Oryzias latipes: one gene and its partner. The protein of the gene in region 1 binds, or shares a complex with, the protein of each later gene. Links are inferred from orthologs where the notes say so. Each region holds a gene or a part of one and is shown on either strand. Other genes may lie near its edges.

What was found.
Region 2: nemf (region 1) and tcf25 share a complex: the UniProt entries of both Homo sapiens proteins name them as parts of the ribosome quality control complex. The link is inferred for Oryzias latipes from reciprocal best matches to the Homo sapiens genes NEMF and TCF25.

What each region holds. Positions count from the first base shown.
Region 1 is NC_019880.2:6,690,740-6,707,159, forward strand, and holds the start of nemf (nuclear export mediator factor NEMF), read left to right. Parts: upstream 1-7,511; 5' UTR 7,512-7,636; coding exon 7,637-7,695; intron 7,696-7,799; coding exon 7,800-7,868; intron 7,869-8,431; coding exon 8,432-8,534; intron 8,535-9,249; coding exon 9,250-9,375; intron 9,376-9,500; coding exon 9,501-9,649; intron 9,650-9,760; coding exon 9,761-9,828; intron 9,829-10,880; coding exon 10,881-10,970; intron 10,971-11,049; coding exon 11,050-11,123; intron 11,124-11,197; coding exon 11,198-11,268; intron 11,269-12,469; coding exon 12,470-12,545; intron 12,546-12,621; coding exon 12,622-12,762; intron 12,763-12,846; coding exon 12,847-13,055; intron 13,056-13,137; coding exon 13,138-13,311; intron 13,312-13,759; coding exon 13,760-13,823; intron 13,824-13,927; coding exon 13,928-14,016; intron 14,017-14,101; coding exon 14,102-14,205; intron 14,206-14,281; coding exon 14,282-14,344; intron 14,345-14,428; coding exon 14,429-14,541; intron 14,542-15,147; coding exon 15,148-15,205; intron 15,206-15,635; and 8 more. Other genes in the region: mok (MAPK/MAK/MRK overlapping kinase), read right to left, coding at 1,704-1,778, 1,905-2,102, 2,181-2,340, 2,468-2,641, 2,749-2,850, 2,951-3,129, 3,207-3,255, 3,325-3,403 and 4 more. UniProt on the Homo sapiens protein: Key component of the ribosome quality control complex (RQC), a ribosome-associated complex that mediates the extraction of incompletely synthesized nascent chains from stalled ribosomes as well as their ubiquitin-mediated proteasomal degradation.
Region 2 is NC_019861.2:22,091,219-22,107,453, reverse strand, and holds the start of tcf25 (transcription factor 25), read right to left. Parts: upstream 8,485-16,235; 5' UTR 8,376-8,484; coding exon 8,151-8,375; intron 7,469-8,150; coding exon 7,325-7,468; intron 6,522-7,324; coding exon 6,456-6,521; intron 6,270-6,455; coding exon 6,148-6,269; intron 5,353-6,147; coding exon 5,287-5,352; intron 5,199-5,286; coding exon 5,116-5,198; intron 1-5,115. Other genes in the region: cytochrome b-245 light chain, read right to left, coding at 12,961-13,152, 13,449-13,530, 13,912-13,995, 14,097-14,171, 14,741-14,810, 15,016-15,073; mvd (diphosphomevalonate decarboxylase), read right to left, coding at 16,183-16,235. UniProt on the Homo sapiens protein: Component of the ribosome quality control complex (RQC), a ribosome-associated complex that mediates ubiquitination and extraction of incompletely synthesized nascent chains for proteasomal degradation.

The DNA of each region.
Region 1 (16,420 bases):
AAACTGAAAGGATAGTTGTGTTTTTCTACCCAGCATTCCCTTTATCCCTTTGTTGAGATCCAGGCTCCCCGACTACAGTTACATTTTGAAACGACTATCCTTTTCCGACCAAGTGCTTCTGAAGACGGTTGCATCCATCTCCATTCTCCCACTACTTCTGACCTTCCTCAAGTAGAATCTCCCCATTGATAACTTTGCACTGATTTTGTTAGCTGTTTGTTGTTTTATAACTACTCTAATGGGACAAAACAAACAAAAAGAATAAGTGGGCTGAGGATTGCCTTGTTGCACCTGGCTTTGCCCTCCTCGGTCTTTAAACCTGAATCTATAGAGCTGGATGCTGCAATCATAGTCTTTTTAAAAGAAAATAGAAAAAAAAAGAGGTTTGCACTTAAATTAGTTTCTAAGAAGAAAATGGCTTTACATTTTTGGGTGTGCTCTGAATTCAGATGGCTGACAGTATGTGGAGAAAATAGAAAAGAAGTTAAAAAAAAAACAGAGAAATTAAAACCTTTATCTATTGAGCATTTATTTTAATATTATTTCAGATTCAAATGTGCTCTGTATCATAATGTGTATATTGTAATTAATTGATTTGATGGGGCCTAAGCAAACTACCATTACTCCAGTGGAAGTTTTGTCATTGATAGTTATATTTCTAAAGCCTAAAATATACATATTAATAATATTAAAATAATCTTGAATACATCGTTTTGGGCTCTTTCTTTCTGCATTCACACCTTTCAAAAACATGCTGCACTTTTCCTAATTTCTCAATAGTTCTTATATTTCTGCATTTAAAGGAAATTGACTTCTTTTTTTTAATTGCTAAATTAATTCACAAATATGTCAGTTTAGATTTGATATTTGACAGCAAAGCATGTTTACTGCATGTTTTGGTTTGACAATGTTTTTCATAACATGTTTTTGCATTTAATGTCTCTGTTTTTGAACAAACTTGTCATATTCCTATTTAATATTAAACTTTTTTTGTCCCAACATTTTAGTCTAGGACTTGCTAAAATGTAATTAATGGAATGAAAAGGACATCTGTCATTAGAAAATATCAGGGTTAAACTGACTGGGACATAAATGTGTCAAAAATAGACAATGTGTTCTAGAACTGGTTATTGCTAAATGTCGGTTGGACTTTTTGTAACCGATTATTAAGGATATTTTTATTTTTACTAATATGTGTCTTATTTTGTAGGCAATGCTATAGTTTTTTTTTTTTTTTTTTTGTAGTTTAAATTGACGTAACCCTTCTCTGTCAGTTCTCTTTTTAAATGTTTCAGTACTTTTCTCCATTTTTAGAATTTCCTTTTACATTTTGAAACATTTAAATTCAATCCAGGACTTTTCTGTTGGATTCATCATCTGTTGATTTCAGAAGTTGTGGAGGTAAGTTTATCATAGAAACACTCAGCACCTCCAAGAATTTAGTTGATAATTTGAATGTTGCTCGCCACATACTTTGTCTTGTGTGAAGGAATTAAGTGTCTAAAATAATCATTAAAAACAAACCTATGCAGATGGAAGACACAGCCAACACAACCCAAATGACAGCAAAGACTATTGTTAGCAAAGGCCTTTGCATTTCTAGTAACGTGACAAATTTGATGTTTGTTTTTTCTGTCTTTATTGCATTTTCTTTCTCAAGCATGTCGTAGAGTTCCAGCTCTGCCCCGTCTCAGGTTTTGCCCTTAGGTGTCCTTGTTTTTGCTGTTCAGGGGGGGTAAGCAGGTCTTGGGACCGGACTGTTGGGAACCATTCGGATGCTGTGAAAACAAAAATGGGACCGAAGCGTCAAAAAAGAATTAGTCAAATTCACACAATTATATCAACTACTGGTAGATCTGACTGGTTTGTGTAAAGATGGCAGTTCTTCTTCCTGTCATATTTACCTTAACCAGGTGTGGCAGACACTTTTTTGCCAAGATGGGAGGCAGCACTTCCCTGTTATCGGAGGTGAAAGCTGGCGGAGGGGAGACTCTGAACGACCTCTGCGGTCCTGAAACGACCTTTTTCATCTTGGACAACGGCGGTAGGTAATGAGGAGTGTTGTGTCTAATAAGCGGGTCTGTTTTGTGCTTCATGTTGTGCTAAAAACACACCAAACGTGTTAGGGACACTTTGCATTTACGCCAATCCAAAAGTGGGCGTCGACAGCACATACTTACAGTTGTTAACGGCGTCTGTCTCATGTGTCTTCCTTTCAGTTGTTTACCAAAGCTGCTCGGCCGCCAGATTTTCTCAAGCGATTGCTGCGTTAATCTGTTTCCCGCTGCATCCAGAGTTCCAAAAAGGAAATGAGAAGTCTCGGATTTCTTCTCTGTCATCCTGGATTCAAGGCATTAAACATGCTTTGATTATAGCACATTCTACGTGGTTCTGTTTATATTTTGAAGTTCGGCAACACAAGGGATTTTTGTCATCCAGTTCAGATTCCTTTCTTAAAACGTTTCACCTGATCTCTCTGAAGTAGGTGTGCCTCAGGGCCGTTTCTGCAGAGATGCGCTCGTCCGGATCGTATGCCAGCATCTGATAAAGCAGGGACAGAGCGGGAGCCGGGCAGTTGGGGATCAGACGAGAGATGCCCGTGCCCTTCATCGGGGGGAAGTTGAAGGGCATCGCTCGAGTCCTGCCACACATTGAGGCACATGAATAATGGGGTGTTTTTGCACAGATGTATGTAAAAATGTCATGAACTACATTGTAGCAATGCAGCATAACAGAAGGAACACCAACTGCTTAAACTTTTGGAGGAGACTTTGATCTGGAGTTCCCAGCACATTGTGGATCTTGGCAACCTGGTCCAACTCATTCGCTCCAGGGAAGAGAGGCTTCAAACTGAAAGAAAAAAACAAATTTTCAGCATTTGAAAATATTTGTCAGAACGACTTTGGAGGATTGACTTATTTAAATAAAAGTCCGTTTTTGGAAGCAGTACCTCATAATCTCAAAGAAGACACAACCGGCGCTCCAGATGTCCATCTTCAGGTTGTAATACCCGTCCGTTAGGAGGCACTCGGGCGCTCGGTACCAGCGCGTGGAGATGTACTCTGTGTGCGGCGGCTTGGAGTAAACACTCCGACACGAGCCAAAGTCGGCAAGCTTTAAATCATTTTGCTGCAAATTGAGTTGGGAATGTTAAAGGCCCTCGAAATAAAAAAATAAAAAAAGGATTTGATTCAGGTGAATATTACCTTAATGAGGATATTCTCTGGCTTTACATCTCTGTGAAAGATCCCACAACTGTAAGAGAAAAAGGCATTGAAAAGTCTCTATTTCTCTATTCTGCCTTTTAAATGTATTCATTCATACCTGTGCATATGTTGAAGTGACTTGCACAATTGGTACATGTAGTTTTTGACCATATGGTCAGGTAGAGGCTTTTTCCTTTCTGCAGGAAAAAGCAGGAAACGTCCATTAGCATTTTTTTTTATTCCCATAAATCCTATCATGGAAACATGTTTAATTTCCAGTAAAGCAGACTTACTTTGTAGGAACTCATAGATGTTCATCTCCATCAGCTCACAGACGAGGGATACCGTTCCCGTCACTTTGTCGCTAAAACATTGGAATATTTGAAATCAGGTCTAATGATCCGAACAGCTGGCGTGGGTGTGAAGTAGGACATCATGAAGTGCACTCACAAAATGAGTTCATGCAGTTGAATGATGTTTGCATGAGGGCTGAGTCTCTTCATCGCCTGGACTTCTTGAAGTTTGTTGGCCTGTTCCAAACTTAAAAAAACATTATTTATTCTCCTTATAGTTCTACCAAGGCGGTCATTTTGACTGAAATACTGATCACATTTATTTTTTCACATACCCAGATTTCACAGAAATTCTCTTGCGTTTTAGCTCCAAAAGAATTAAATAAGCTTCCAACTTCTTTTTGCTCTCTTTACATCCTTCACTTTATTTAGGAGAGCTCTTTCAAAACTATACTACCGACCTGTTTTTGTTTCCATGACCTTAAATGATCTGAATGGATTTTTTTCTTTCTATTTTCCTTCTAAGTGTCTTTAAACAGCAGTTTTGTTCTGTGTCTTAATTAAATATGTTTTGTAAAATTGAGAGCTGTTTTTGTTGGTCATACACTTAATGAGTTTTTTGTTTGTTAATTCATTTTACTTTGTCATCTTTTGTTATAAATTTAGCAGGAGGAAGTGTGGCATCCCAAGGGACTATCCTCCCATTGCTCATTAAATGTTTAAATAAAATGCCATAACAGAACGTAGTTAAAAAGCAAACAAACCTATAGACCAACAAGACCCTAACTTTAAATGTGCGTTTTTAAACTAAAACTCAGAAATACCTTCATTCTAAACCCAAAAATGACAAGAAGAAAGTTACAGATGTTGCCATAAATTGAAAAAAAAAGGCCTGATATAATGAAAATTAAAATATGAAACAAAATGAATGACGTTATAAAGGTTCTGTTACAGTCAAATATTATAGTTTTTCTTTAGTGTCCTTGATTGTTTTGACCTATTCTCCCAGATACTATGTCTGAATTCCCATCCAACTCCCTAACTACTAAAATACTATATAGTGTGGGACTGTGTAGTGTCCTGGATATTAAGCAATTCAGACACCATGCTCTCTGTTTTTTGTTTTATTACTTTTCTTTTTGTGTGTGTGTTTTTTTTTTTAACGGCCTATATGACGTTATCGATTTCACAAAGTTAAAACCTCATTGATATAAGCGACTTGCAACGACCATTTATGAATCCACTGAGTTCTGAAGAGGAAAACAATTTAAAAAAATACATTAAAATACATTTTCTTAGCAAAAACTGTTCAGATGCAATGCATTGTGCTCTGTATTCGCCAATCTAGTGAGCATCAAGCAAGGATCACTGGTTTTTCGCAGGGACTTCTGGGAAATTTGTAGGTCACTGGATTTTGGAATTGTAGATTCGGACAGCACTACAAATTGGCGATCGCACTATATAGTGCACTATATAGTGCGTAGTGAAAGAATTTGGACACATCATACCAGTATGTCTTTTCAACGTGATATAGAAATAATGATCATAGCAGGCTAAAGGACTGTCATGATCATTGTAATAGTGGTGGAATGGAGTGTTAATTTGAGATTTTATTTGTTTATAAAAAACATGACTTTATGAAAAAATATTCTCACACTACACTGGAGAACTAATTAAGGGAGCATTTTTTTTTCTTATTTATTTCTGTTAAATGCAGGTTATTTTAAATAGACATTTGTGGTAAATAGAAGTCAAGTTTGATTCAAATTTCTTTTTTAAAGAAAGTAAATTTAAGTTCCAATTAGATGTGAGAAGAAACATCTAGATCTTTACAAAGGGGTTTAAATGATAAAAACATTTGGCAGTGGCGTCCGAACTTTTTTGCAAAAAAGGTCAGATCTGACTTAGTGAAAAAGTGTGAGGGTCAACCCATCAGCCTGGATTCTTAGAACCTGCATTTGCTAACATTAAATACAAATTAAGTATTTTATTAAAATTCTATTGCAATGGGGATACTTTTCATCTCTTCACATAAAACAGGAACACGTCTAAATATATTTTTTCCCAGGGTCCCGGCTTTGGACATGCCTGGCATTTAAGCCATACCTTTTTATTGTCTGCTTCATTGTTTTACAGGCATAAAACTTTCCATCTTTTAGGCTCTGAGTTTTCACCACCTCTGAAAATGCACCTTCTCCAATCTTCTTGATGACTTTGTAACCTGCAAGAAACAGAAAAACACAACAAAAGATGCTCAAATGAAATCAAAACATTCAGGTCGTTTTAGTGTTTATGGATTTCAATGATCACAATCAAAGGGAGTCAATTGTTTACATTAGTTTTGGTAACAACACAAAATAGGAAAATCATTGAAAAATCTAATGATAATCAATGAATCAATTTATATTCCCACAATCCAACCGGACCGATCTCTCTGAGGCAAGTTGATAATTGAATTAACCTATATCATTATGTAATCATTTCAAATGGAAATAAATTGATTGTAATCGATATTGGAAAATACCTTTTAGATTAAGACATCGTTTTTTAACTTTAACCAAGTGTCATCACAGTGGACAACACACATGTGATGGCAGCCGGAAATGATCAAGCCATCATTCCAGTCCAATGTGTGGAAACCCTTTGATTTTGCAAAGACATGCGACCATTCAGAGTGGCAGTGGCACATTTTGGGTTGTATTACCACAGCAGGTATTTCTGCTTATCTGAGGCCATGGGACTATGTGTGTAGAGGGTCAGCTCAAATATTGTCTCGGGTCTGCAGACGGTAAGATTAAAATAGAAGTTCTTGTAGCTGAAGAGATATTACCAATGCTTAAAAAAAGCTTGCATTGAGGATTTCTTAATCTTTGTCAATAATTGACTCAAAATTATAATAAATAATTGACCAAAATCCACTCAAAAATTGCAGTGGGCAAAGCTTTCTGCTGAAGGGCCACATGTTCCTCCCTTGGTACCCCCCCCCCCCCCCCCCTGTAATGTGGTATAATGTTTAAATTTTCAGTTTGTATTCTTTTTATGTGGAAATTAACATTTAATCGGATTAAATCAGATCGTTCAAAATGAACCAACATTGACTGTGAATCGGATCGTCATCCACAAATTCTGATATGAGTTGATTCGTTAAAATGAATCGTTCTCACCCCCTACTAGTTGAGGTAGTTAATTCTTGAGTGGATGGGAGGGTGAAAGGGCATCGACAGCCGTTTCTCCTCCCCTTTCCGTTTTTTCCTTTGTTTCAAATTCCACTTACGATGCATTTCCTTTAATCTCCTTCTGCGCACGTCAGTCAAATATCCATTGAAAGAATAAAAATGATGCATTTTCCCAGTTAGAGGTCGCGGCAATCATCGCGCTCGAGCCACCCTAACCCTGCTGGTTCACGTCCTGTTGGCTGACCGTCGCCTTGGCAACAGAGCACGCCTTCGCCCTCCTCTCTGACCCAGAGAGGAAGCCTGCTGCAAACCCACCGCGTTTCCACAACTCAACGCATTTTCAGACTTTACAAATAAATAAACAAATAAACACAACACGCCCTGCTGTGTAGGAAAAATAGGTTTATTCCCACCAGGCCCATTTCCCCCCCGATACTCACCCCTCTTCCAGAGGTGATTGGGGATCGCAAGCTCGGATGTTCTTTCGTTGGGCTTCTTCTTGCTACTGTTCTCCATGTCTGCGGAATCCCGTCTATGATTCCAGTTGGCGCTGAAAGATGTTTGGTACTCATTTCGAAGGCTTGCCTTGTTCTTTATGTCAATGAGCCAGTTTGAGTAGTGCATCTTTGGTGCACGTAAACTGCAACAAATCTGAACATGAGCTTAGAAATGCAGACAGAAAAATCTCAGAGGAGAAAAACATCTAAACACGCGCATTAATAGCATTGCCAGACATAATTAAATCACACACGACGAATTGGTGGTCAGCTGCTGTGTAAAAGGCGTGGACGGTGTTCCTTTTGTCACCTAACGGCTTCCGTACTGAAGCCTCAAGTGCGCATGCTCAAAGGTTACTCCTGCGTGTTGTTCTTTTTCGATACTGTTTTCATTGGCGGTTTTGCTTTGATAATGTGATCATATTCTACAGTTTACGGGCTTTGTAGCTGGAAGTTAAGTCAACATGAAAACTCGGTTCACCACCGTGGATATCAGGGCAGCTATTGCCGAGATCAATGCAAAGTAGGTGACACAGGTCTCATGCTAAGCTAATGCTATCTTAGCTTCGAGCTGTTTGGTTGCACATATTTAACAGGTTGTCTGGGTGTTTCTTCCCCCCTCCGCAGCTACGTCGGAATGAGAGTCTACAACGTGTATGACATCGACAATAAGACATATCTCATCCGTTTGCAGAAGTAAGGACGGTTTGTAAGCAAAGGATTGTTTAAAACTTGCTGATCCATAACTATTTACGTTTTTAATTATGAGTGATTAATATAACGTAACACATTTTAGCGCAGAACACAGCGGGTTTAATTATTTTAATTCAGGTTAACTGTTGGTTAAGAACAAGTTTAATTTAAAACCGTTATTTCTGCAATTGTGGTTATCCTTCCCATTGAAATTGGATCAAATTTAGAATTCAATACAAATACTGTTGATTTACATGGAAATAATGATAGAAAGTTAAGCTTCGTTTAGAAACAGAAGGATAATAATTCTGGTTATAGTGCTCAGCCCTAAGCAAAAAGTAGTCCACTCAAAGTTAAAAAAAAAAGTAAATTTTAGTATAAGTATAGCAAATATACTAGAAAATGTGTGTGTAGTGTAGGAATTATAGGAAATGTGTTTTTAGACTAAACTGGAACATTTTAAGTTTACAACGGCAAATATAGTGGCTCACTTTAAGTATAGACTTAACTTGTATTTACTTGTAGTTCATATCGATAGACTACTTTTTGTTGTGTTGTCTTCTCAGGCCTGATAGCAAAGCTGTTCTGCTGGTTGAGTCTGGCATCCGTATTCATTCCACAGACTTCGAATGGCCCAAGAACATGATGCCTTCGGGATTTGCAATGAAAGTAAGAAACTGAATTAAAATCAGAATTTTTTTCTTTCTTTAGGTATTAACTATGTATAACAGTCCAGGTACACTCATTACTCTGATCGTCTTTGAATCTGTTTTTAAAGCGTTCCCAGTGGTCTTTTAACTATAATTATCCTGGTTTTAGTCTAAATGTTAAAAAAAAGTTTGCGCAGAACGGCAGTATTTCATTAGAAACTCGCCTCAAAGTTGTAGGTGGAACTGCTGCCACAGAGGAACCATGCCGCCCCATCCTCTCCCAGTTGCTGAGAGCTCTTTGTTTACACTCTCCTGCTTTTCGACCTAACATTAGCGGTGCAACAAAAATGCCGAGCAATATTGGAGCTATCCTACTGTACAGTTTTGAGCCAAATACCAGCTTGGACGAGGAAAGCAAAGAAGTACGTGGATCTAGTCGTCTACAAGTCTATGCATCAGAATGGAGCAGAGCAGGGAGCTTGTGGCCTCCCCAGTGTATTTTTTATGTGACAAATTAGCCCTTTTTCTAACTTCTGCTCCTGATTCACAACAGTTTGAATAAAGAAATACTCAGAAGTGCAATTTAAACCTTTTTAATATATGTCCTCAATCCTCAGAAAACTCCAAAAACACAACTTTCTTCAGCGTGGCTCTTTAATAATCCTTTTCTACAGATTAATAGACATGGCTTTTTTTCGTTTTTTTTTTTAACTTGCACTAATGTGTTTCCACAGTGTCGAAAACACCTGAAGACGCGCAGACTGACCCACATAAAGCAGCTTGGCATTGACAGGATTGTTGACATGCAGTTTGGCTCAGACGAGGCTGCCTACCACTTGATTGTTGAACTGTATGACCGGGTCAGAGAATTGCACCTACTTCAATTAAACACACAATAACACTACTTTTTTGTTGTCACATCCAGTTCTGATTAGATAATAGTAATATTCGTTCAAACTATAATCCTGCATGTGATTGTTTTCAGGGTAACATCATCCTTGCAGATCACGAATACACGATTTTAAACCTGCTGAGGTTTCGCAACGCAGAAGCAGAGGATGTGAAGATCGCCGTGAGAGAACGCTACCCGGTGGAGAATGCCAGATCCCCTGAACCTCTCATCAGCCTGGAGCAGTAACCACACCTTTACATTTGCTTTAAACTGTTGATAATAATGTGCATTCTTTATAACCTAGTGGACGTTTCTCCTGGCTGAAAATGAGTTTTTTTTCTTTTTATCTCCAGACTTACTGAAATACTGAGCAAAGCACCAAAAGGAGAGCAAGTGAAAAGAATCTTGAATCCTCACCTTTGTAAGTATCCGTGAAGCCAGCGTCGTTCAACCTGTGGTTTCATGTCTTTAGCAGAATCGTGAGAATACATCCCTAGTTTTTCAGGTGCTTAACATACGAGGTAGAACTCCATGTCCCTGTAACGCAATGCCATAAACAGAGTAGTTTATTGCTTTTCTCAAAAAAAAGAAAGAATGTTTGTAATGTGGGACAATCACCAATTTTATATTGATCATACTAGATGCAAATAAGGAAAAACAATTTTAAAGATCAGGGGCATCAAAAGCCTCTCAGGTTTAATAAATGCGACTTATCTTAAAGTAATCCTAATAACTCATCCAGTTTAAATAGAACTTGGGATTCTTCGTCCTTCTTGCTGCACCTTCTGTAGCCAGTTGAGCTACCAATAAAGTTTTAGTCTTATTTCTTCAAGAAATACAAGAATAAAAAACTGAGTATTAAATATCTAAAATAATACATTTCTGGATGTTCTTTACTTCTCTATAAAATACTCATACTATTCTTAAAAACAAAAAAAGGTAAAGTGTTTTAATCAAAAATTCTAAGAAGCTAAAACCAGCATTTTATAATCAAATAAATCATTGTAAAGTAACATCTTACTAGTTGAGGCTGTTGGTTTGAACCATAAAAGCAAATATGATGGTTCATTTATAATTTTCATAAAAAGTAAAGGCAGCAACTTGTTGGGCTTATGCTGATGAAATTACGGTAATTTATAAGTTTTAGACAATGACCAGAAATGTGAAAAATTCACCAAAAAACACCTGAATAAAGTAAAAATGCTAGGAGAATGCAGAGAGAGACAGCAGATCTGATTTAGGGTGTTCCTATAAAATTCGTCACTTATTTCCTGAGAGATTTGAAGAAATTTACATCTATTATATATGTCATATATGTTTGATTCACTCGCAGGTTAGTCAGACTTGTAAGGTTTGAAGCAAACGAAGTAATGACCACTACTTAGAAGTATTTTTTAAATTACTTTAATTGTAGTCATTTTATTGTGTAAAAAGGTAAAAACAAAATGTGTCTCCTTTTAAAAATGTCTTCAGCTTACGGAGCCACTCTGATAGAACACAGTTTCATAGAAGCTGGACTGCCGGGCTCCATTAAAGTCGACAGTCAAGAAAACGCTGCTGAAGGTGAAACACTGCATCACTTTTCCCCTTTCATTTAAAAGTTTAGTTTAAAAATATTCTATTGACAACATTTGTCTTTTAGTTGCCCCTAAAATCCGGGAAGCGCTGCAGATCGCAGAAAGTTACATGGAAAAAACGGAGAACTTTAACGGCAAAGTAAATGAAGAATTCTTGTGTGTCACATTCTGTTTGACCTCTGCTGCATTCATCATTTCTTTTGTTGTATTTAGGGCTTCATCATTCAAAAGAGCGAAAAGAAACCAAGCGTAGCTCCAGGGAAACCTGCAGAGGAATTACTCACGTATGTCTTGCTTAAGGACTTTGCTTTGAGAATGTTGATGGAAAAGTACAGAGAAGGTCAGAAGGAGCTGCATTGTGTGTTCGTAGATTTAGAGAAGGCGTATGACAGGGTGCCGAGGGAGGAGCTGTGGTACTGTATGAGGTCGTCTGGAGTGGCAGAGAAGTATGTCAGAGTAGTTCAGGACATGTATGAGAGAAGTATGACGGTGGTGAGATGTGCTGTAGGTCAGACAGAGGAGTTCAAGGTGGAGGTGGGACTACACCAAGGATCAGCTTTGAGTCCTTTTTTGTTTGCTATGCTGATGGACAGGCTGACAGACGAGGTAAGACAGGAATCTCCCTGGACAATGATGTTTGCGGATGACATTGTAATTTGCAGTGAGAGTAGAGAGCAGGTGGAGGAACAGCTAGAGAGGTGGAGGTTTGCTCTGGAAAGAAGAGGCATGAAGGTCAGTCGTAGTAAGACAGAATACATGTGTCTGAACGAGAGGGATCAAGGTAGAAGCGTTATGTTACAGGGGGCTGAGGTGAAGAAGGTGCAGGAGTTTAAATACTTGGGGTCAACAGTTCAGTGTGATGGGGAGTGTGGAAAAGAGGTGAAGAGGCGAGTGCAGGCAGGTTGGAGCGGTTGGAGGAAAGTGTCAGGAGTGTTGTGTGACAGAAGAGTGTCAGCAAGACTCAAAGGAAAGGTGTACAAGACAGTGGTGAGACCAGCTCTGCTCTATGGGTTAGAGATGGTAGCAGTGAGACAGAGACAAGAGGCTGAGATGGAGGTAGCAGAGATGAAGATGTTGAGGTTCTCCTTAGGAGTGACCAGGTTAGACAGGATAAGGAACGAGTACATCAGAGGGACGGCTCATGTTGCCTGTGTTAGCGACAAAGTCAGAGAAGCCAGACTGAGATGGTTTGGACATGTTCAGAGGAGGGATAGTGGATATATTGGTAAAAGGATGTTGGAGATGGAGGTGCCTGGCAGGAGGGCAAGAGGACGGCCAAAGAGGAGATATATGGATGTCTTAACAGAGGACATGAAGTTGGCTAATGTTAGGGTAGAAGATGTTCATGATAGAGTGAGGTGGAAAAGGATGATTCGCTGTGGCGACCCCTGATGGGAAAAGCCGAAAGAGAAAGAAGAAGTCTTGCTTAAGGACTTTCTCCAAATTCAAATTTTCTGGCTTCATTTCTTTGATGTCTTCCAACAGATATGATGAGTTTCATCCATTCCTCTTTGTCCAGCATGCAAAAAGCCCATTTTTGGAGTTGGATTCTTTTAACAAGGTAACTCTAAAGGCATCTTACTGATGTTTTTTTGGGGGAGAAATCCACATTGCAGGATTGCTATTTATTTATGCAGGCGGTGGATGAGTTCTTTTCAAAGATGGAGGGTCAGAAGATTGACATGAAGGCCTTGCAGCAGGAGAAGCAAGCCTTGAAGAAGCTCGAAAATGTGAAGAAGGACCACGAACAAAGGCTGGAAGCTTTGCACCAAGCACAGGTTAGCAACCACGCCGCTTTCTTCGCTGCAGCACTTCCACACTCTCGTTTGTCAGACTAACAGGACTCCTGCTGTGCGTCGCAGGAGGTCGACAGACTAAAGGGGGAGCTTGTGGAGATAAATCTGGCTGTGGTAGAGAGGGCGCTGCAGGTAGTCCGCAGCGCGCTGGCCAACCAGGTGGACTGGGCGGAAATTGGCCATATTGTAAAGGAAGCGCAGGCCGCCGGGGACCCAGTGGCGTGCGCCATCAAGGAGCTGAAGCTGCACAGCAATCACATCACCATGCTTCTAAAGTAAGAGGCTGCTTTTTAAAGAAAGAGGCGTCAGATGGAAGTGGCATTCGCACCACTGCCCTGGTTTGCCTTTTGCTCCCAGGAATCCTTACATTTCTGAGGAGGAGCAGGAAGACGAGGAGATGAAGGACGCAGTGGAAGAGAAAGGGAAGAAAAACAAGAACCGGGACAAAGGTCAGAAGAAGAAGCTGCAGCGGAACAAGCCCATGTTAGTGGATGTGGATCTGGGCCTGTCGGCTTACGCCAACGCCAAAAAGTAAGTTTAACGTGCAGTGAAGGGAAATCTGTGATTTACTGTGAAGTTCTGTGCAGCTTTTCCAACCTTCACATTTTATATGCAAAGATTTATTTATATTATGCATCTGTGAATTTATTTTTTTGTTTGTTCGTATCGAATTTAAATTTCCTTAACTAATGTACATTTTTAACTTTTAATTAGAGCCTAAGAATCCATTGCAAAAACTTTTTTTTTTTTTTAAGGACTTAGTATTTTTTTTCTAAAACCCTATGTTTATATCATGTTGTTTATTTTATAATTAAAAATATTCATACATTTTTGTTTTTCTTTTGCTTTTATGTGAAAATACGTCCAGCCTTTCTGCTTTGATTTTTCATGCTCCTTAAAATAAAAGCCTGTAATGGATCTGATGTTTTATTTTTTTGTCACACTAATATGTTCAAGCTTGCAATGATGCTGTTTTTAGATACTATGACCACAAGCGCTCTGCAGAAAAGAAGCAACAGAAAACCCTCGAAGCTGCTGATAAGGTGATGAAGATATTTTCATCCATGTTTAAGCCCAAACTGCTGTCTTTCATAAATAATGTGATTTATTAGATTTTTGTTCATAAATGGAAGCTTTTCTGTTTCAGGCTATGAAATCTGCAGAGAAGAAAACACAGAAAACTCTGAAAGAAGTCCAAACGGTGACCACAATTCAAAAAGCCAGGAAGGTGTACTGGTAAGAAACAGACACGGTTGTTGTAGAGCCTCTCCATCAGTTATTCTGAGCTGTTTTTTTTTTACTTTCCTCCTTCTTTTGGCAGGTTTGAGAAGTTCCTTTGGTTCATCAGCGCTGAGAATTATCTGGTCATCGCAGGAAGAGACCAGCAGCAGAACGAGATTATCGTTAAACGTTACCTTCGAGCAGGTATGACCAGCTTCTGTTGAATCATTGAACTCTTAAAAAGCTGTTTCATTTATCTGTTGTGCGTTTGCCTCGTCAGGAGATATCTACGTTCACGCTGATCTGCATGGAGCAACCAGTTGTGTTATCAAAAACCCTTCAGGTAAACAGCTGTTTAAACAGGCTTGGCTGCATTTGGTCAAACTAAGTCACCCTGGCCTCTTTTTTTTTTTAAATTTTTTTATAGGGGACCCCATTCCCCCTCGTACTCTGACAGAAGCTGGCACTATGGCCGTGTGCTACAGCGCCGCCTGGGACGCCAAAATAATCACCAGCGCTTGGTGGGTTCACCATCATCAGGTGAGGCCCTTAGAGATGACGTGAAACATCAGAATAATTCATTTAAAAAACCCAAATCTAAACATATGAAGTTTGTTTGTTTAAAAATGAAATTTTTTAAATTACCTTTAGATTCCCATTCTATTTATTATGCATAAAATATCAAACTTTGTTTATTTAATTTTTTAAAGATCTCTCTCAAAAAAAGACCAAATCCTTATTCTCATTAAAATTATCTTAAATAATTGTCAAATCTGTTTACGCAGATGATACCATATTTTAGCTTTACTGATGCTGCTGAGATTCTGCATTTTTGATTAATTTATGCTCAAAACAAAAACTCATAATCATTTTTCATGTGTAGGAAGTTATGAACTACCGGTAATTAAAAGTTCATCTAATTATTAGTTTATATTACATTTGAATTGAAATATGTTAATTCTTGTTTGAAACGCTGGGATCTTTACAAATCAAATCCAGATTTTAGAGAAACTTTACTTTGCTCTACATGTGATCAATTGTTCGGCTTCTGAGTCCGGAAACTGACCCAAAAAAGTCTGTTGTAAAGAGGAAATCCTGTTTTTTTTTAAAAATATCTTTAACTGAAAATGTTGTGTATTTTTTTAGGTATCCAAAACCGCCCCCACTGGAGAGTATCTGACCACTGGAAGTTTCATGATTCGAGGTACAATAAACCAGCTTTCATTGTTAATAAAATGCAACCACACATTTTTAAGACCAGCTCCAAGCATCTTTTGTTTTTTTTTCCAACCATTCCAACTGGTCTTTTCATTATGATGATGTTGTTTTTAAGCAAAAATCCCCAAACTTGTGTTCTTTTCTAGAACATAGTTTCTGCAGAGCGGCAGTAGTTCATTAGAAATTCCTCTCCCTGTTTCTGAGAGCTCAGAGCAACGTAACAAATGCAATCCTTTTTTTTTCCTGTCTGCTCCCGATTTGATTAAAGAAATACTTGTAAATTCAATTTCCGGCTTATTTGTGTTCATATATGTCCTCCCTCATCAGAAAAATGCCACAAGAACATGTTCAAACCACAATTTTCATTGGAATTGATCTCCTGTTCGTGGATTAAAGTTCTTTTTTTAACTCTCTAGGGAAGAAAAACTTTCTGCCCCCGTCCTACCTGATCATGGGCTTTGGGTTCCTTTTTAAGGTTTGCTGTGAGCACATCTGAAATGTGTAATGATCCAAAGTTTTTTGTTTTGTTTTCAATCTCTCTTGTGTTTTTTTACAGGTAGAGGAGCAGAGTGTGTTCCGTCACAGAGGCGAGCGGAAGGTGAAAAGCGTCGAAGAGGAGATGGACGACGTCACGTCGAGAACGGCCGAGCTTTTAGAGGAAGGAGAGGAGCTGATGGGTAAAACGGCTAAACGCTTGGGTTTAGTGTCCGAGAAGAGCCGAAAAAAGAAGACCGTCTCTGTTGTCCCAGTAGGAGACGATAGCAGCAGTGAGGATGCGACTGAAGAAAAAGCAGGAGACGGTCAGACACCGGAAGAGGAAAACGAGACAAAAGCAAAGATTACAGTGGAAGGAGAAGAAGAGGAGAAATGTGAGGAGCCTGCTGCAGACACGGGAGCGATGGAGTCGGAGGAGAGCAACACAGATGAAGAAAAAGAAGAAAGGGAAGAGGTCCACTTTCCAGATACAACCATTTCCCTCTCTCATTTACAGCCCAGCAGGTAAAGATGTCACCTTGAAGGTGAAGGAACTGGACTCATTTGAATGAATTCAAACTGATTTGTATTTTTTCTTTCTTTTAGGAGTTCTCAAAACTCTGGCTTCAAAACAGAAGCATCACATAAAGCAGTAAGTGGCATTGTTTGGCTTTGAAGTTATTATTTTTTGTAAGTTTTTTTCTACGTTTCATACTTTATTACTCGC
Region 2 (16,235 bases), on another chromosome or scaffold:
CACAGATATGGACATGAGACTGCTGTGTAACAGTTTGTCAATCTTTTTAAAAGCTAAAGTTTAACACATAAATGAACAATTTTGGAAAAAAAAAATCAATACAACTATATTGTGCATACCAGTTCAAACTATTCCAGGTGTCTAAATCAAGGAATATAATTATTTCTTGATTTAGTAATTATTATTTTCCTGAATACAAGTAGAATTAAAAACTCTTACTGGATATGTAGCAATCTAACATGTCATGAAATTACCGTATTTTCCGGACTATAAGTCGCACCGGAGTATAAGTCGCACCAGCCCAAAAAGGCATTATAAAGTAGAAAAAAACACAGATAAGTCGCACTGGACTATAAGTCGCATTTTAACTTTCACAACCTTATATGACACAATCAAAGCAGACTGTTTATCTAATAATTTCACAGTAATTTTTTCTCAAACTTATTTATTTATTCTTTTCATGAAGCATCATCGGCCAACTAATACTCTGTTTTCATCCTGTATTTGTAGAAACAGTTTTCACTTTTATTGCATTTCTGAATCTATGAAATCATTGGAAAATAGAATATTATGTTGTTAGCCTTCAAGATCTTACTGTAAAAAAAAAGTTTGTTGATTCTCTGAGTCACTTAACATACTCCTAACACTTAACATACCTCATACATTAAATTGACCCAGGAACATCATCTCTGTTCCTCACAAATGAACATATAACAGGAGGGTTAACAATGTATTTATTTCGATTTATTTCTTTCTTTCTTTTTTTTTTTTTTTTTTTTTTTTTTTAACTTGTCCTGTCCAACAGCTAGGCAGACAGATGAGAGCTGAGGGCCTCTTGGGTTGGACATATTTTACTTTAACAAGAGGGGTTATTAATCTTCAGACAAACCAAAGGTATGTCTGAATAAACCCCTTTTGTAATTGAGGCCAAACTTTATTAATTTCAAACATGTCTGAAAATCTTTGGTGTTGGACCGGACGGAAAAGGAAAGAGGGGAAGAAGAGAGAGGGACGTTAGAGGGGGGGTAGGGGGTGATAATAGGAGGGGAAGGGGGATAAGACCATGAAGCAGCATAAAGCAGCAAGTTTACTGGTTGTTAATCATTATGGTAAGGTTCAAATGTAAAAAAAAAACAAAAAAAAAGGGCGGAGCCTGTCCACACACACACTCAAATGTTATAAACACACCTGTTAGTTGCAAAAATGTCCACCTGTCGACATGTACACAAAACAGATAGTGTTCACACGCATACTTATGCCTTAAAACCAACTAGTGTGAAATATTTCAGTCATTCAGTCTGTTGAGCTAACACCTGTGCTCAGGTGAGTGTTTATGTTCTTCTAAAATGGATGGTGGAACGTGAAAAGAAGGATGGAGAGTGCCCAGCCATCCCCACCCCAAGACCCCCACCGCACCAGCAGCGGCAGCCGGAATCCCCCCAACGCCACACGGGAACCGGCAGGGAACAACGGCCGCCCGGGCGACCAAGCCCGCCACCCAGGCCAGGGCCAGCAGGGCCGCCGCAAGGCCCCCAGAGCCAGAGAGCAGGGAGGCACGGAGGGAAAGAGGGCGCCGCCCCAGCCCAACCAGGAGATTAGCCCCCCCGCCGCGCCGGGAGAACCCAACGCAGGGCCCCACCGGAGAAGGACGCCCACAGCCCCAGACGAGCACCCCACCACCACCCAGGAGTTCCGGGCATCCCCCCGCCCCAACCCCAGGTACGAGCCAGGACCCCCCAAGGGAGACCCACTCCGCACTCCATTCAGCCATCCGCCCGGCCCACGGTTGGTCCAGGGAGGAGCGAGGCAGGGGCCCGCCGCCCCCGCCCAGAAGGGGGGAACCCCGGGGAAAAAAGAGGGCCCACAAGGGGTGTTGTAAATATGGCCCGACCAGGCTCGGCCACAGTTGGAAATTTGGCGGGGCCCAGCACTCAGGAGCAAGGACCAGAACCCACCCCCCAGGGACACGAACACCCCCGGCTCAGATGTAATGTGAACCCCCCCACCGCGCGGAGAGAGCACCGCCGGGCCCAGGAAGCCGGCACCCCGGGGACACAGCCGCCGTTGCAAAGGGGCCCGTACCCCCCACCAGGGAAGAGGCAGGGGACAGATGGTCCTAGGTCCCACCTTCCTTGCAAAATGTGTGTGCGTGTATGTGTGTTTGAGAGAGTGTGTGTGTGCATGTGTGTGTGTTTATGTTGGGATGTATATATTGAGGGGGGAGGGGTGTGTGTACTAAGGGGAGTGCGGTTAAAATTGGCGGGTAGGGCACTAAGGGGACGTCTCCTGATTACTCACAGTGACGTCCCCTCACCCTCCCCACCAAGGGGCCCTAAATGTCTAAGGTGCGGTTAAAATTGGCGGGTAGGGTGCTAGGAGGACATCCGCTGCTTGCTGGCAGTGATGTCCAAGCACCCCCCCTACCAAGGGCCCTACATGTCTAAGGTGCAAATAAAACCGAAAGAGGGGGGGCCCACTCCATACGGCAACCACAGGAGGGGGGTCACTGCCTAGTAAACCCCCCCCCCAAGGCTCATCGCAGGCTAAGCCCCCCACCCCCTCACCCTATTATGAGGTTATATGAGGAAGGGGGTAAGTTGGGGACAGATGATAGACTGTCCCCCGGTGGTCAAACAGCCGTCCCCCGCCCCCCCCCCAGCAAGGGGGCCAGGCCCACCCAGCCCCGGGGCCCCACCCCCGGAGGCGCAGACACCCCAGGCCCAGCACCACCACCCCCACACAGAGAGAGGGGAGCCAGAAAGCGCCGGCCCCCCCCGGAGCAAGCCCAGGCCCCCACCCCCAAACGCCGGCCCTAGAAGAGCTCTGGTCAGGCCTCGACGGGACCGAGGCAGCCAACCGGCCGGGGAAACCGCCGATGGCCTCAGCGGAGACCCCGACCCGTCAACCCCCCCTGCCCCGTACCAATAGTGCCCCCCCTCCCTCCCCCAGAATGCCCCCCCACAGGACAGGGCCGACAAGACCCCCACCCCACCCCACCCCCAGACCCCGCAGCCGAAGCGGATGACACCCAGAGCGACCGGGGGCCCCAAGAGGGTTGTCCCGTCCCGCCCCAGAGCCAGGGAAGGGCCGATCCCAGCCCCAGGCGTAGACGGGAAGCCCATCCGGCGCCGCTGGGCCCCCCCCCCCGGAGCAGCGCCCCCCGCCAACCCCCCCCAGCACAGGCAAAGGGACCACCCCCCCAAGCCAAGCCAGACCACCACCCCCCCCACCACGCACCCCCACACCCAAGCCCAGAGGACCACGCAGCGCCCCAGGCCGCCCCACCCAGGCGCCGGACCCGACCCCCCGACCAACGGAGCCCCCACCACCCCCGGCCAGGCACCGGAGGCCCCGACCCCCACCCCGGCCCACGGCAGAAGGGCAAGGAGCAGCGACGACCATGCCCCCCCCACCCCCTAAGTCACGGAGTTAGCTATGGGAGACCAGAGAGACCGAATTCTTTCAAAGTTACTTGAACTTTGGGCTGACATTTTTTCCAAGCTGATATGATCAAGCAGCAGATTTCTGTGTTGACTTATATTTATATTTTTTTTGCTTTTCCAATTTATTAAAATAGTTTTTTTAGCAATGCAAAGAGTTATGAAAATGATAGAGCCTAATCCTCCTTCTACATCGATGGCACTCATGTCACCAAGCACACAAAGTGACGGTGAAGCTGTGATTGAAACCTTAAGCCAGACTGATAGATCGGCACATACCTGCTGCCAGAGAGCCTGGACAGGCGTGCAGAACCATAGTGCATGCATGTAATTGTCGGGTAGATTACTGTCACAGTGCTGACAAATGTCTGAGTTACTGAGACCCATCTTGAACATCCTCTGTCCAGTGTAGTAAATTCTGTGAAGAGTTTTGAAATGGATTAGCTGCAGATTTGGATTTTTTGTCATTTTAAAGGTGTTTAGACAAAGTTCTGACCAAAAACTTTCATCTGTGCTGATGCTCAAATCCGCATCCCATTTTGTTGTCGGAAGTGAAATATTGTTATCTAAATTACATAAAAGTTTGTATATTTTGGAGAGAGTTTTATTCATTGAGAAATTGATCAGAGTGGTAACTACATCTGGTAGCTTTAAATCGTTGTCTCTGTATTTAAACTTTTTAGTAATAATTGATTTAAGTTGCTGATATTCCAAGAAGTTATATATTCCGTGTTTGTCTTGAAGTTCCTGGGGAGTTATGAATCTTCTATTAATAATTATGTGCTCTAGTTGTTTTATGCCCCCTGCTTGCCAAGCTGGGAAGTGGATAATTTTTTTGTTTATGAGGATGTCTGGGTTGTTCCAGATGGGTGTCATTTTGCACGGTTGAATTGATGATTTTGATATTTTGAGAAATTCCCACCAGGCTGTTAAAGTGGCATTTATATTAATACTTTTGAAACAATCCTGTCTTTTAACTATTTGACTAATAAATGGAAGATCTGACAGGTTGATCTTTCCACATAACGCCTGTTCCAAGTCTAACCATGAGTTGGTTTCTGGATTATTTTTTAACCATTTTAAGATGTATTGTAATCTATTTGCAAGAAAGTAATTGTGGAAGTTAGGTAATTCTAATCCTCCACAGCTTTTTGCAGATTTTAAAGTTTTTAGACTAACTCTTGCAGGTTTATTGTTCCATAGAAAGCTTGATATGGATGAGTCTAATGTTTTGAACCATTTTAATGGCGGTTGTGTGGGAATCATTGAGAAGAGATAATTAACTTTGGGTAAGATTTTCATTTTAACCGTGGCTACCTTGCCCATAAGGGACAAAGGCAAGGTAGTTTCGATTTATTTCTAATATAAGTCGCTGCGGAGTATAAGTCGCACCCCTTGCCAAACTATGAAAAAAAAGGGCGACTTATAGTCCGGAAAATACGGTACACAAAATCGTTTATTATGAGACGCTTATCAACTATTAGCTGAAGTTGTGTTTTACGGCAACATTAGTCAAAAAACAGCAGTTTTAAAAATGTTGGTTCAGGTTGACGCATATTATTTTTATATTTTATATATTTATTAGTTTATGTAGCATTTTAATGTCCAAGAATGATTGAATAAAACTGACAAGAAATCAGCTTTTTTAACAGTATTTATATCCTAAAAAACAGACCTGGGCGAGCGAAACGAGGCCAGCTGTCCTTTGGACTGGTCATCCACGTACTACGGTGAAAGTGCCTGTTTCTCTGTCGAGGTCTTTGGAGAAAAATGACAAAAATATTTGATATTAGTTTTCAAAATTCAAAATGTTTTATATGTATACATATTTTTTTTCTCCACTCACCTTAGATCCCCTAAGACGGCTCGAGCCCCAAAATATCTCTTCAGCTCAGTCTCTGGGTTCAGATTTCTGGACACAGAAATATCACATTCAGATTTAGATTTTAATTGCGTACCATTCTGGCTACTGATCAAACACATGTAATGAACCACTTTTCCTCTGTTTTCTGGAGAAAATAGCTACTTTAGCTCTCCGTGTGGTTGGAAATATTTCAACAAGTAGAAAAGAAGATAACAGAAATGTATTCGGCAAATGCATTTAAAATTTAGAAGGATATTCCTGTTCCTGCTTCATCAAACCTAAAGGTGACTTACATTTATTCCATTTCCCTCATGTTTAAGTTATTTATTTACAGAGAATGTAAGTAGACTGTTGTTGTAATAACCATAATTGAATAAAAGTTCTATCTTTTTTCTTGGGTAGAGGTTTGGCTTTTGTGAGTCTTTCACACAATATTCAGATAAAAATAATACATAAATAATGAAACGATACAGTTAAATAGAATTTAAATGAGGACTTAATTGACTGAGGGATAATGGATAAGGAGTTTTAAGTTTAAGTTTAAGAGGTTAAGAAGACATCAAACCACCTTTACTGACTGGGTTACTTCTAGTTCCAAGTCCTCATTAAATATGTTTGTTTATCAATAAACATAACCTGTGAAAAACGTGTGGTAGGAGGCTTTAGGTATTACTAAAATGATAATTATGCTGCTGAATTTGCAGATGGGGGTTAAAAACAAGACAACCTAAATTCTATGCAATACATTTCTCCGTTAGTGCAATTCAATATTTCTGAGAATGTGACTATTTTCCCAATTCAGCAAAAGTCTCATTTTCGTCTCAGTGGAAACGGTGACCTTACCTGTGCTCCACATGTAGCATTGATCTTCGATCAAAACCGCCGCAATCTTCATTTTGTAAGCTCACGCCATTGGACTGCTCCAAGTTCTCCAGAAGTAAATCAATGTTATCCGAGGAAGCTTCCTAAAAGTTTAGAACGTAGTTGTTTGCTTGCAAAAAGAAGCTATGAGGCTCAGCATATGACCTAAATGCAGTTATTATGTGTAATGATAATAAATAATTAAACTTTGAGTAAAACTGAGTCTGGTGACAAAATGTTAATAGTTTTACAGCCATTTGGGAAGAAAAAAATAAATGGAACCCATTTACTTCTCCATCTTTTGATGCAACTTTTGTCTTCTTCTTTTTCTTCTTCTTTTTAACTCGGTCTGCAGACTATTACAGAAAGAATTAATGAAACAATCCAACTTCCCAAAAAACTGTTTGTGAAGACAGAAAAACGTTACTACTGAGCGCATGACCTGACATGGGTAAAAAAAATACTAATTCGTTCCCACAAAATAATTGTGACTTTTTAAACACCCCGTATTTTCAACCGTAAATAAACTGAAATGCCTAAGGTTACATCATTATTGTAAATAAGATGACTGGTTTACAGCAATAATAAGACATATTTTGCCACTGCATCATTGATGTTTCTATTGACTATAGGGATCACCTCGCGCAGACAGACAGACAGGTACTGCGGTATGGGGAAGCAGCAAGCTTGGGGCTCCTAAAATCGTAGGATAGTTTTCTTATATTCATCGAGACAATAATAAATAGATCCCCTAGTTTGACTCTTGTTTTTACTTTTCCCCTCTTGAATTAATGTGGGTCACAGAGACACAGAAGTAGTGTAGAAAAACGGCTTATGCGGCAGGGTGGAGTGCGTACCGGTAGAGACTGTGAATGAACCCAGACATGGAGACGTGATTACCGATGCTTTTGTAGAGCTTTTTAAAATAAATAAATCCAACCTCTAAACATCCTCCGTGTCTTCCATGCATTGTCATGAGATAAACACAGACAGAATTATGAAGGTATATGCTGTAATTCCAAGTATCGCTGACATCAGTGTTTATGAATGACTTATCACAATTATTATTTCGTGGGAGCTAATTAATTATTTTTTTTACCCATGTCAGGTCACGGGCTCCGAACATTACCGAAAGACGTTGTGGGTCTTTTTATTTTACCTTAGAGGACACTCCGTCACACATTTGAACCTGGTTCTCGGTTTGTTTATCATTTATTCCAGTGCCACCTGTTACATTTTTGTCTGGTTTGTCAGCCTCTTCATCAGCAGAAACTTTCTCCCCTTCATAGTCTGGATCACCAATCTATAAAAAAAAAAATTTTTATAGAATAAATGTAAAACATTTTTTGAAAAAAAATAATTATTTAAGCACATAAACAGCACCAGAAGAGCTAAAAGATCAGCAACTACCTAATATTAAACGAACAAAATGTGACAGTAATCATAGAAAATTATTTATTATATAGTATTCAAAATAGGTATGTGTACAAGACACAAATAAAAAGGGAGCATTGCAGTTTTGTTTTGGTTAAGCACTTTCTTAGGCTTAGAAATGCAAAATAAGTGTCTTTTAGAATTAATTTGAACACTTAAATATTACTTCATTTTAAAAATGTATTAGAATATTTAAGGTAATAATTATGAGACAATAATCCTATTATCCATGTAATGTGTGTAGTAAGTAGGTTACCCAGATTTGACACAATTTCCTCAGTCTGACAACAGTAAAAATCTACGTTTTATTCGGCAACAACATATATATTTATAAATGTAAGCGATTTTAGAACGAGGTTAATTAAGGTTAACGTTTTTAACTAAACCTCCATTGGTTCAATCAGATGGTAAAGAAGAAGAAGCTAGCATTATTTGGTTAGCTTGTGTTAGCATGTTAGCTAAATGTAGACGGTGCAAGCAGCTGTCAGGAAGAAATGCGCGTCACCGTGTCAAAGAAAGGGTCGTGTTTAGTCAAATATTCGGAACCTTACCAGTTCATAGATGTTTGTGAAGTTTTTCTGAGCTTTGTTTTTCTTTCCCTTTCGGGTGCTGCCTGTGTTGTCTGAAGAGGGAGACGCGTCAGCAGGGTTAAAGTGCTCTTCCTCGGCTTCATCAGCCTGCTCCTCTGGGCTTTCACCCAAAGTTAGTTCTCCGAGGTCCAAGGCCTCCTGACCCCTCTGTTTTCCTTTCAGTCTCCGCAGAGCCCGGGTGGACATAGTTCACAGTAAATGGGTCACACAATTTTTCACTGTTTGATCGAGTTTTCTTCTGACATATAGCACACCCATAACCTGATGAATACTATTGGTTTCTTCTTCTTCTTCTTGTGGTTTTGTTGGCGGGAGGCACCAACGTGAAGGTGCATTACCGCCACCTACTGTGTTGGAGTGTGGGTCAGAGTGGGGACTACCTGACAAAAAACAAAACAAAAAAAACACCCCTAAATTTAGCATTCAAGAAAAAGTAGGGAGAGGTATGAATGTCAGGGTAAACGCCAGAGATCTCGGCATAATTTCACGGTTGAGAATGGGACACACTGGTTTAAATAATACATTGCATCTGATAGGGAGACACCCAACTGGTTTGTGTGAGTGCGGGAAAGGGGAAATTTCATCTCTATACCCCATTTCAACGCCCTTTTTGCCAGAAAATCAGCCATTTCATTTCCCTCCACCCCCCATGTGCTGGTACCCACATAAATCTGATGCTTATTTTCAATTTTCCCAACCTTTTCCAATTTCATACAATTTATCTGATCTGCTATCAGAAGAATAAGACTTTAGAGACATCAAAGGTGACAAAGAGTCTGAAGAGTCTGAACAAATTATACCATCTCCAATTTTATTGTGTTCAAACCAGTCTAAACTATATGATATTGCCAACATTTCAACTGCAAAAACTGAAAGTTCCTTTGACGTCTTAATTCCAACATATTTTCCCAATGTAGGGATACAGAAACAAAAACCAGTTCTCATTGTGCCTAGGTCTTTAGATCCGTCTGTATATATGGGAATAAATAAAGCATGGACTGTGTCTAACCAGTCTGTTGTTATTTCATCCCAGTTTCTCTTCCCTTTGCTACCCTCCATCTTCCTGTGGAGATACAAATCCACTTGTACGGTTGGAAAAACCCAGAAAGGAGTGGCTGGGTACAAAAACGTCTTAACTAGGGTTTTACCATGAATGTTTGTTTCTCTGGTTAATCTAGCTAATTTCCAAGCAACACTTTTGTTTGTCCCACTACCACTTTCCCAACAAGGAGCAATACCTCTCTTAACCATATGTTCTACATCTACACAACCCTGTATTTACACCCAATAATTAAGCAGCAGTTGTTTAATTCTGAGATTCAATGGTAGGTCCCCCATTTCAACTTGTAATGACACAGCAGGAGTTGACCTCATAGCCCCAGTACATATTCTCAACGCCTGATTTTGGATGACCTCTATCTTATGTAACTACGTTTTGCAAGCTGTATTGTAAACAATAATTCCATAAGCTGTGACTGACCTAATCATTGTAACATATTTTTGTTTTAAAGCCTGTGCACTAGCTCCCCACCCAGTGCCTTTCAAGCATCTCATTTTATTTATGACTTTGTTACATCTCCCTACTATCAATATTCTCTTTCCATTTCAACTTTTTATCAAATATAACTCCCAGATGCCTAAAACTATGTACTTGCTCCATTACTTTTCCATATAGTTTTAAGTTCAAAACAGTTTCACGTTTTCTAGTAAAAACCATGCATTTTGTTTTAGCCACTGAAAATTTGAATCCCCAATTGTATGACCAGTTTTCCACCTCCGTAATAGCGTCTTGTGTCTTTCTCTCCACATAACGAATATTCCGTCCCCTCTTCCACAAGGCTCCATCATCTGCACACAATGCTTTCCCAAATTCGCATCCAATGGAACTAAAGATATCATTAATCATAATTGAAAACAACACAGGGCTAATCACACTTCCTTGTGGGGTTACATTATCCACGACGTATCTATTAGAAAAAGACTTTCCTATTCTAACTTGAACATATTTATCAAATAAAAAACCCCTTAATCCAATTATAAATTCTTCCATGAAGTCCTAACCTACCTAATTTTATCAATGAACCCTCTTTCCAGACCATATCATAAGCCTTTTTATATAAAAAAAATACTGCCACCAAATATGCTTTATCTACTTGGGCTTTCCTGATGTCTGCTTCTAGGCAGACGACAGGGTCCATTGTCCCTCGACCTTTCCTAAAACCGTTCTGATATTGGGACAACAAATTTTTTCTCTCCAGGTAATAATACAATCTCTCATTTATCATTTTTTCCATTATTTTACCAACATGTGATGTGAGGGCTGGGGCTGTAATTTTCTGGGCTGCTCGGATCTTTCCCAGGTTTTAATATAGGAATAACAACAGCCTCTTTCCAATTTGTCGGCAATTTACCTTCACACCAGATTCTATTATACATGTCCAATAATTTCAACTTCATTTTCCTACCTAAATGCTTTATACTATTGGTTTGCTCGTCTTCTTTGATTAAATGTCGAAAAACATCTGAGCAATCTTCCGCCCTCTAGCGTTTACATTTGAAAGAATAAATAGAGCAAAAACATCACATGCCAGGTAACTTATCTTCAACTTTGGTTCCAAAAACAAATTGAAAAGATATTTCATATAAAAAAAATACATCTTCAGTTGTTACTTAAAGATACAGGCTAAATTGTTTTCAAGTCTTTAAGAGGAAAAATCACATTTATGAGGATTAAAATCATGATCACATGGCCTTTTAAAATGAGCTGTTCTGCCAATTGTTCATCTTTTCCCACATGCTGATTATGACAAAGGTAACTAATATCATCTCATCTCAAATATGTTATGATATATTAGTATTAAACCTGAAAAGGTTGACAATTATTTCATGGCTACACATTACTTTGGCAAGAAGGCAGAATCATTGGTTTAAACGAAGCATGTCCAAAGTCCGGCCTGTGGGCAAAAAGCAGCCTCCATTCAAATTCCCACCTCTCACGGGCTCCTGTCATAAAAATAATAACATGTGGCCCCAGCACTTTCTAAAAAGTGTGTGTACAATTTCTTGATTGTGGCTGGCTAAATTCCATTCTTAGCCATTATAAACCTGTTGTGACAACCTGTGGCTACTTTGCCTTCAGAACCTTAATAACCAAACAAGAGGACACAAAATCCACTATAATTTAGGTTAAAAAAATGTTAACAATGTAGCTGCAAGTGACCCCAAGTCTGGGTCCCCCTGGTCCAAAGCCTGGATAAAATACAGGGTTGTGTGAGGAAGGGCCTCCAGCATGAAACTCAGTGAAAGCTGATTTGCTGTGGCAACCCCTGAAGGGATGTGTTGAAAGGTGAACAAACATCCATTCAATGTGGAAAAAGGAAAAATATGCCATTGCAAAAAAATGGCATCATATAGTTCATTTACATTTAATGCTTTTATAAGAGTTCAAAGAATGCGAGCCGATTGGTTGGCCCTCATACATCTTCAGTTTGGACACCCCAAACCAGCGAGGGGAAATGATTATTTTAGGTGTCATTTATTAGTATTATATAGACAAAATTAGAAGTATTTTCCAGAAGATGGAGGGCAAATTTTCAACTTTTGATTTCAACCAGTTTCAGTTACATTGTGATCTGAGGTCAATCTGTTCTTTATTCATACTCTTCCATTTCAAAGTCTTCATTAAATACTTACATGTATCTGTAAAAACCAGGTCTTGTCTTGTTTTTGCAGTTTATGTGCAAACTTTAAAGCAGTTGTTGGGGTTTCAAAAGTATAAGTATCATGAACTTTGGGAAGAAATTCTGACACACTCACTCAGCTGACTGGTTTTCTGTGTGGCTCTTCTCCTAAATAAACATTTCTGTTTTTTATTCTCAACAAAGTGCGTGATCTTTGATTACTACATTTCTCCAAGCAAGAATCATTGCATGAATAAAGATTCAATCTGCACCTGGGTGTTGCGGTTTAGACTAAAAAGAGGAAGCACGATTATGATACTTTGGTTTACAAATAGACAGTAACTGTTCTGACTCCAGAAGTAAAGAGAAGAGAAAATTAAAGAAAAATACTATCACGTAGAACCTGTTTGAACAATGCGTTAAAAAAACAGTGAACAGCAATGTTACAACTATGTACTACAAAGAAACAATGGAAAAACAGGGGAAGTGCTACGTGTCGAAATATTGGGCTTGTAAAAGCGAGAAGTTGCAAATGCCCCTGCTTTGAATATTTTCCACAGGAACAAAAACACAAAAGCAAAAACAGATGACAGATAACAATTAAAAGAAAGCAAGAAATCACCACAGAAGTATGAGACAACATGAATTGCTTTATCGCCATGATGCACCCAAAAACACAGATCATCTCATCAATCTGTACTTTTTCATTCTTTAATCACAACCTGCATTTAGCTGCTTTCAAAAACTCCAGAAACAAGTAAATACACATTTTTCTAGATCACTTTTATAAAATATAAAAACTTTTATAAAAGTTATGATCGCTGGAACAGGAAACAGATATTGACTTGGACCTTTTGAATATTTTTCCAAACAGTAAACACTAACACATACAGTACTTAAAACTGACAACAGTATATTTACATTTTCAAACTAGCAGCTACAGCATTTACATCTACCGTATGTGGTATATTTTTGATCATATCAACTTTTTGATCATATCAACTTTTTTCTTTGATCTCAGCTTCTTGTATTTCTCCAGGGTCACTAACTTGAGCGAACCGTTCCTCCACCATTCTGTGAGGGGGGTCCAGTTACTCGTCATCTGTCACAGACATGGGATTGTCATAGGCAGCTCCCTCCACATCCTTGGCTTGCTTCCGGCGTATCTCTGGAGGAGGTCGTGGTGGTGGGTTCTGAGGAGGACTTTTGATGCTTTCAGCAACAGGTTTCCGAGTATCTTTGCGAGGAAGAATTGGTTCCCAGTGTTCACCTCGGACAGCTGCCTAGATAGCAGGAGAATGTCAATGCTTTGCCACAAAAGGATAGTGACTATGTTGTTTACTCAAAATTGGAGATAAACCTAAATTTAAACCGTGTTACATCTGAACCTTTGAAACTCATGGAGAATTCAGTCACACCTTCGTTTAATGTTTTGCAATAACGTATGTCATGTTTCAACAGAGACACCACTATGGGACAACTTCTAAGTTGCAGTTTCCTTGTTTCCAGAAACTAACCACTTCCCGCCATTACAACACACTTTTCAAATTTGACAACTGGTGAGCTTTGAACAACTTACTGCCAGATAGATGAGACTGGCAATGCCAAGACAGACACATCCTAAAACTGTGGCAAGCATAAAACCTCCAGGTACACAAAGCCTGTAAAGAGAAATACAAAAGGGTTTAAGACCAAACACAGTCATGGCACAAGCCTATTGTTAGTGAGTGGAAAGAATGCCGTTTGGCAAAAGAAGGATTGACACAAAACAGTCCACTTATTCAAGCGTGGCATTGTTTCAGAACCACAAAGTCAACTTTATTCAACTTCTTTTCAAGACATTAATTAAACTGTTTTTCATCAAATATGTATCTGAAAATATTTCTCTTTTACTTCAAATTTTTCCAATCAAATAAGGATTCATGATCTTAAGTTTGATAAATCTATATATGTTATTCTCTCACGTTTCTTTTCTTTTTTACTTTTTCTTGTTTTGACTGCTTGAAATGAATTTCTAAATTTAGAATTCAAATCTTACTTACGCTGCATGCAGAAACGCTCTGACATAATAGTTTCTTGTTACTGGTCCGAAGGCTTTTACACACACTGTGAAGCAGTACTGGCCCCTGAAAGAAAATGAGTAGTGAGTAAAAAACCTTATAATAGTTAGGAAAATACGTGCTGATGATGAAATATGTAATAAAGGTAAGACTACAGGGAAACTTACGTCCTTTCCACACTCGTACCCTTGGCCCTTTTGCTCCTGGGATACTCGAGCAGGCACACAAAGACCCCAGCAGCACTTGATTTCAGTCAAGGCATTTTAATTATTGTTATCACTTCAACATCATCATCATAAACACACATAGTGCTTAATATAAGACTAAAATGTGCTAAATTGACAAACAAAACAAACTTTTTAATTTAATCTATCAGATTTTGGACTTTATGGTTACATAAAATGGATGATTTTTAACATTTGGGTGAAAAAATCAAATCTTAACTTAGATGAACAGGAAAAGAAAAAAAAACCTCATGGAGGAACCTGCATTTACTGAACATGCACAATAAGGAAGTGTGTACCGGATACTACACAAGTTGTGTTATGAACTAATACTCATCTGTCTAAGACACAGAAAAAAAACAATGTAGTTAGACTATAAAAACAAATATTGAAATATTCAGATGGGATGATATACATTATCTTCAAAAAAAAGGTGAATGAGGCTTTACACTTTCAGGTATTAAAATTCGGGGAAACCTCTCCAGGTTAACCCTGCGCATGCGCCACTTGGTTCTCATGAACCAGAGTGCAAACTGTATTAAAGAGTCTAAATCCCAATACACTTCTTATAATAAGGTAAAGGATACATAGCATAAGAAGCAAACTCCCAGCCTCTAAACTGCCCCGCCACTCCCACAATTCCTCCGGCGAGAAGAACTACAAGAAGGAAACAGGAAGGTAAAAAAATAAAACAGCATTAATGACAACAATCCACCTTTACTTTCTATAGATGAACATTATTTCTGCAACTGGAATTACCATACAGAAATGGAGCTATTTGTTCTAGTGTTAATTGTCCTAGTTATTTCATGACCTGACAAAAAGCAAATACTAACACTTAAAAAATCTTTTGTATACTCACTGAGGCCTGCAGCCAGAGCCTGTTCGTTGGCCCACATGGCCCACTCTATTCTCCCCATGGTGCTGACCCCAAAAACGACGCGACTACGACGCTCTACCTGCGACGACACCTGACCCTGCAGCCTGCACAAGGAAGACGACGCGCTTTAGAGGAGGTGCAGCCCGTAGACGTGCGGCTGGGAGGAGCGGGGCGGGGCGGGGCGGGCGGGACGCAGCCCCGCCTCGCCCGTCGTTTCCGAAAATATGCGGGATTCCCGGGAGGAGGGCGGGGCCAACACCCACCGGACAGGTGCAGCAAGGCCAGGGAGGAATTTCACTTAATCATTAAATAAAGTTTCACCCTTTTCTTCCTGGCAAGGAAGCAATAGCTTCGTTTAGTTTCTAACTTTTTCCTGTTTGTTAACTGATGCCTTCATCTGGATTTGTGTGTCATTCTCTCACATAATGAAACGGACAATAAAGGCCACATTGAATAAAGTTTAAAATATTTTTTACAAACTATTTATCCCAGGTTTAATGTCATTGACAAATACAAGATCTTTAAGGCAATGCAACTATAACATCTCTTTCTAACAGCGAGTAAAAGGAACAAGCTTACTGACAATGATGTAAGAAATCAGAAGACACAAGAGCTGCTGTCACATTTAACATTTATTTAGAATAGAACCTAAAAACTCGTGATTTGAAGTGACTTAGAAGACGCACTGTACAGTTTACATGGGGAAATTAAGATTTATTTTGCTTCTATGCTGGCATAAACTACGGAGCCCCTAAAGGGACATAGATGTAAAAGAAATTGTACTGGTTTCTCATGCGCACAATAAACCAACTGTTGCACACGAGGAACTAAGTGGTTATTATTTCTTAGGACTCCCCTACAAAGACTTTAGCTTTGCTTGCCTGGTGTCACCGTTATGTTACCTCTGAACGTCACCTAAAACGAGTTCTAAAGTCATGTAGTTTGTTTTGGTACCGGGGATGCACTGGCTTTGATCAGCTGCTGTGCTGCACACTGGGTTTTTTTTCTCGTGTGCATGAGAAACCAATACTATTATTTTTTTTTTTACCTCCATGTCCCTTTAGGGGCTCCATAATAAACTGTATAAATCTGTAAACGTAAAAAAACAAAAAAAAACAAAGCTACTTTCAAAGAACTAAAGTTTATGTCTTATAGTTTAGGAAAGCCATCAGGTGACAGCAGGTGTAGAGAGGGATCCTTCA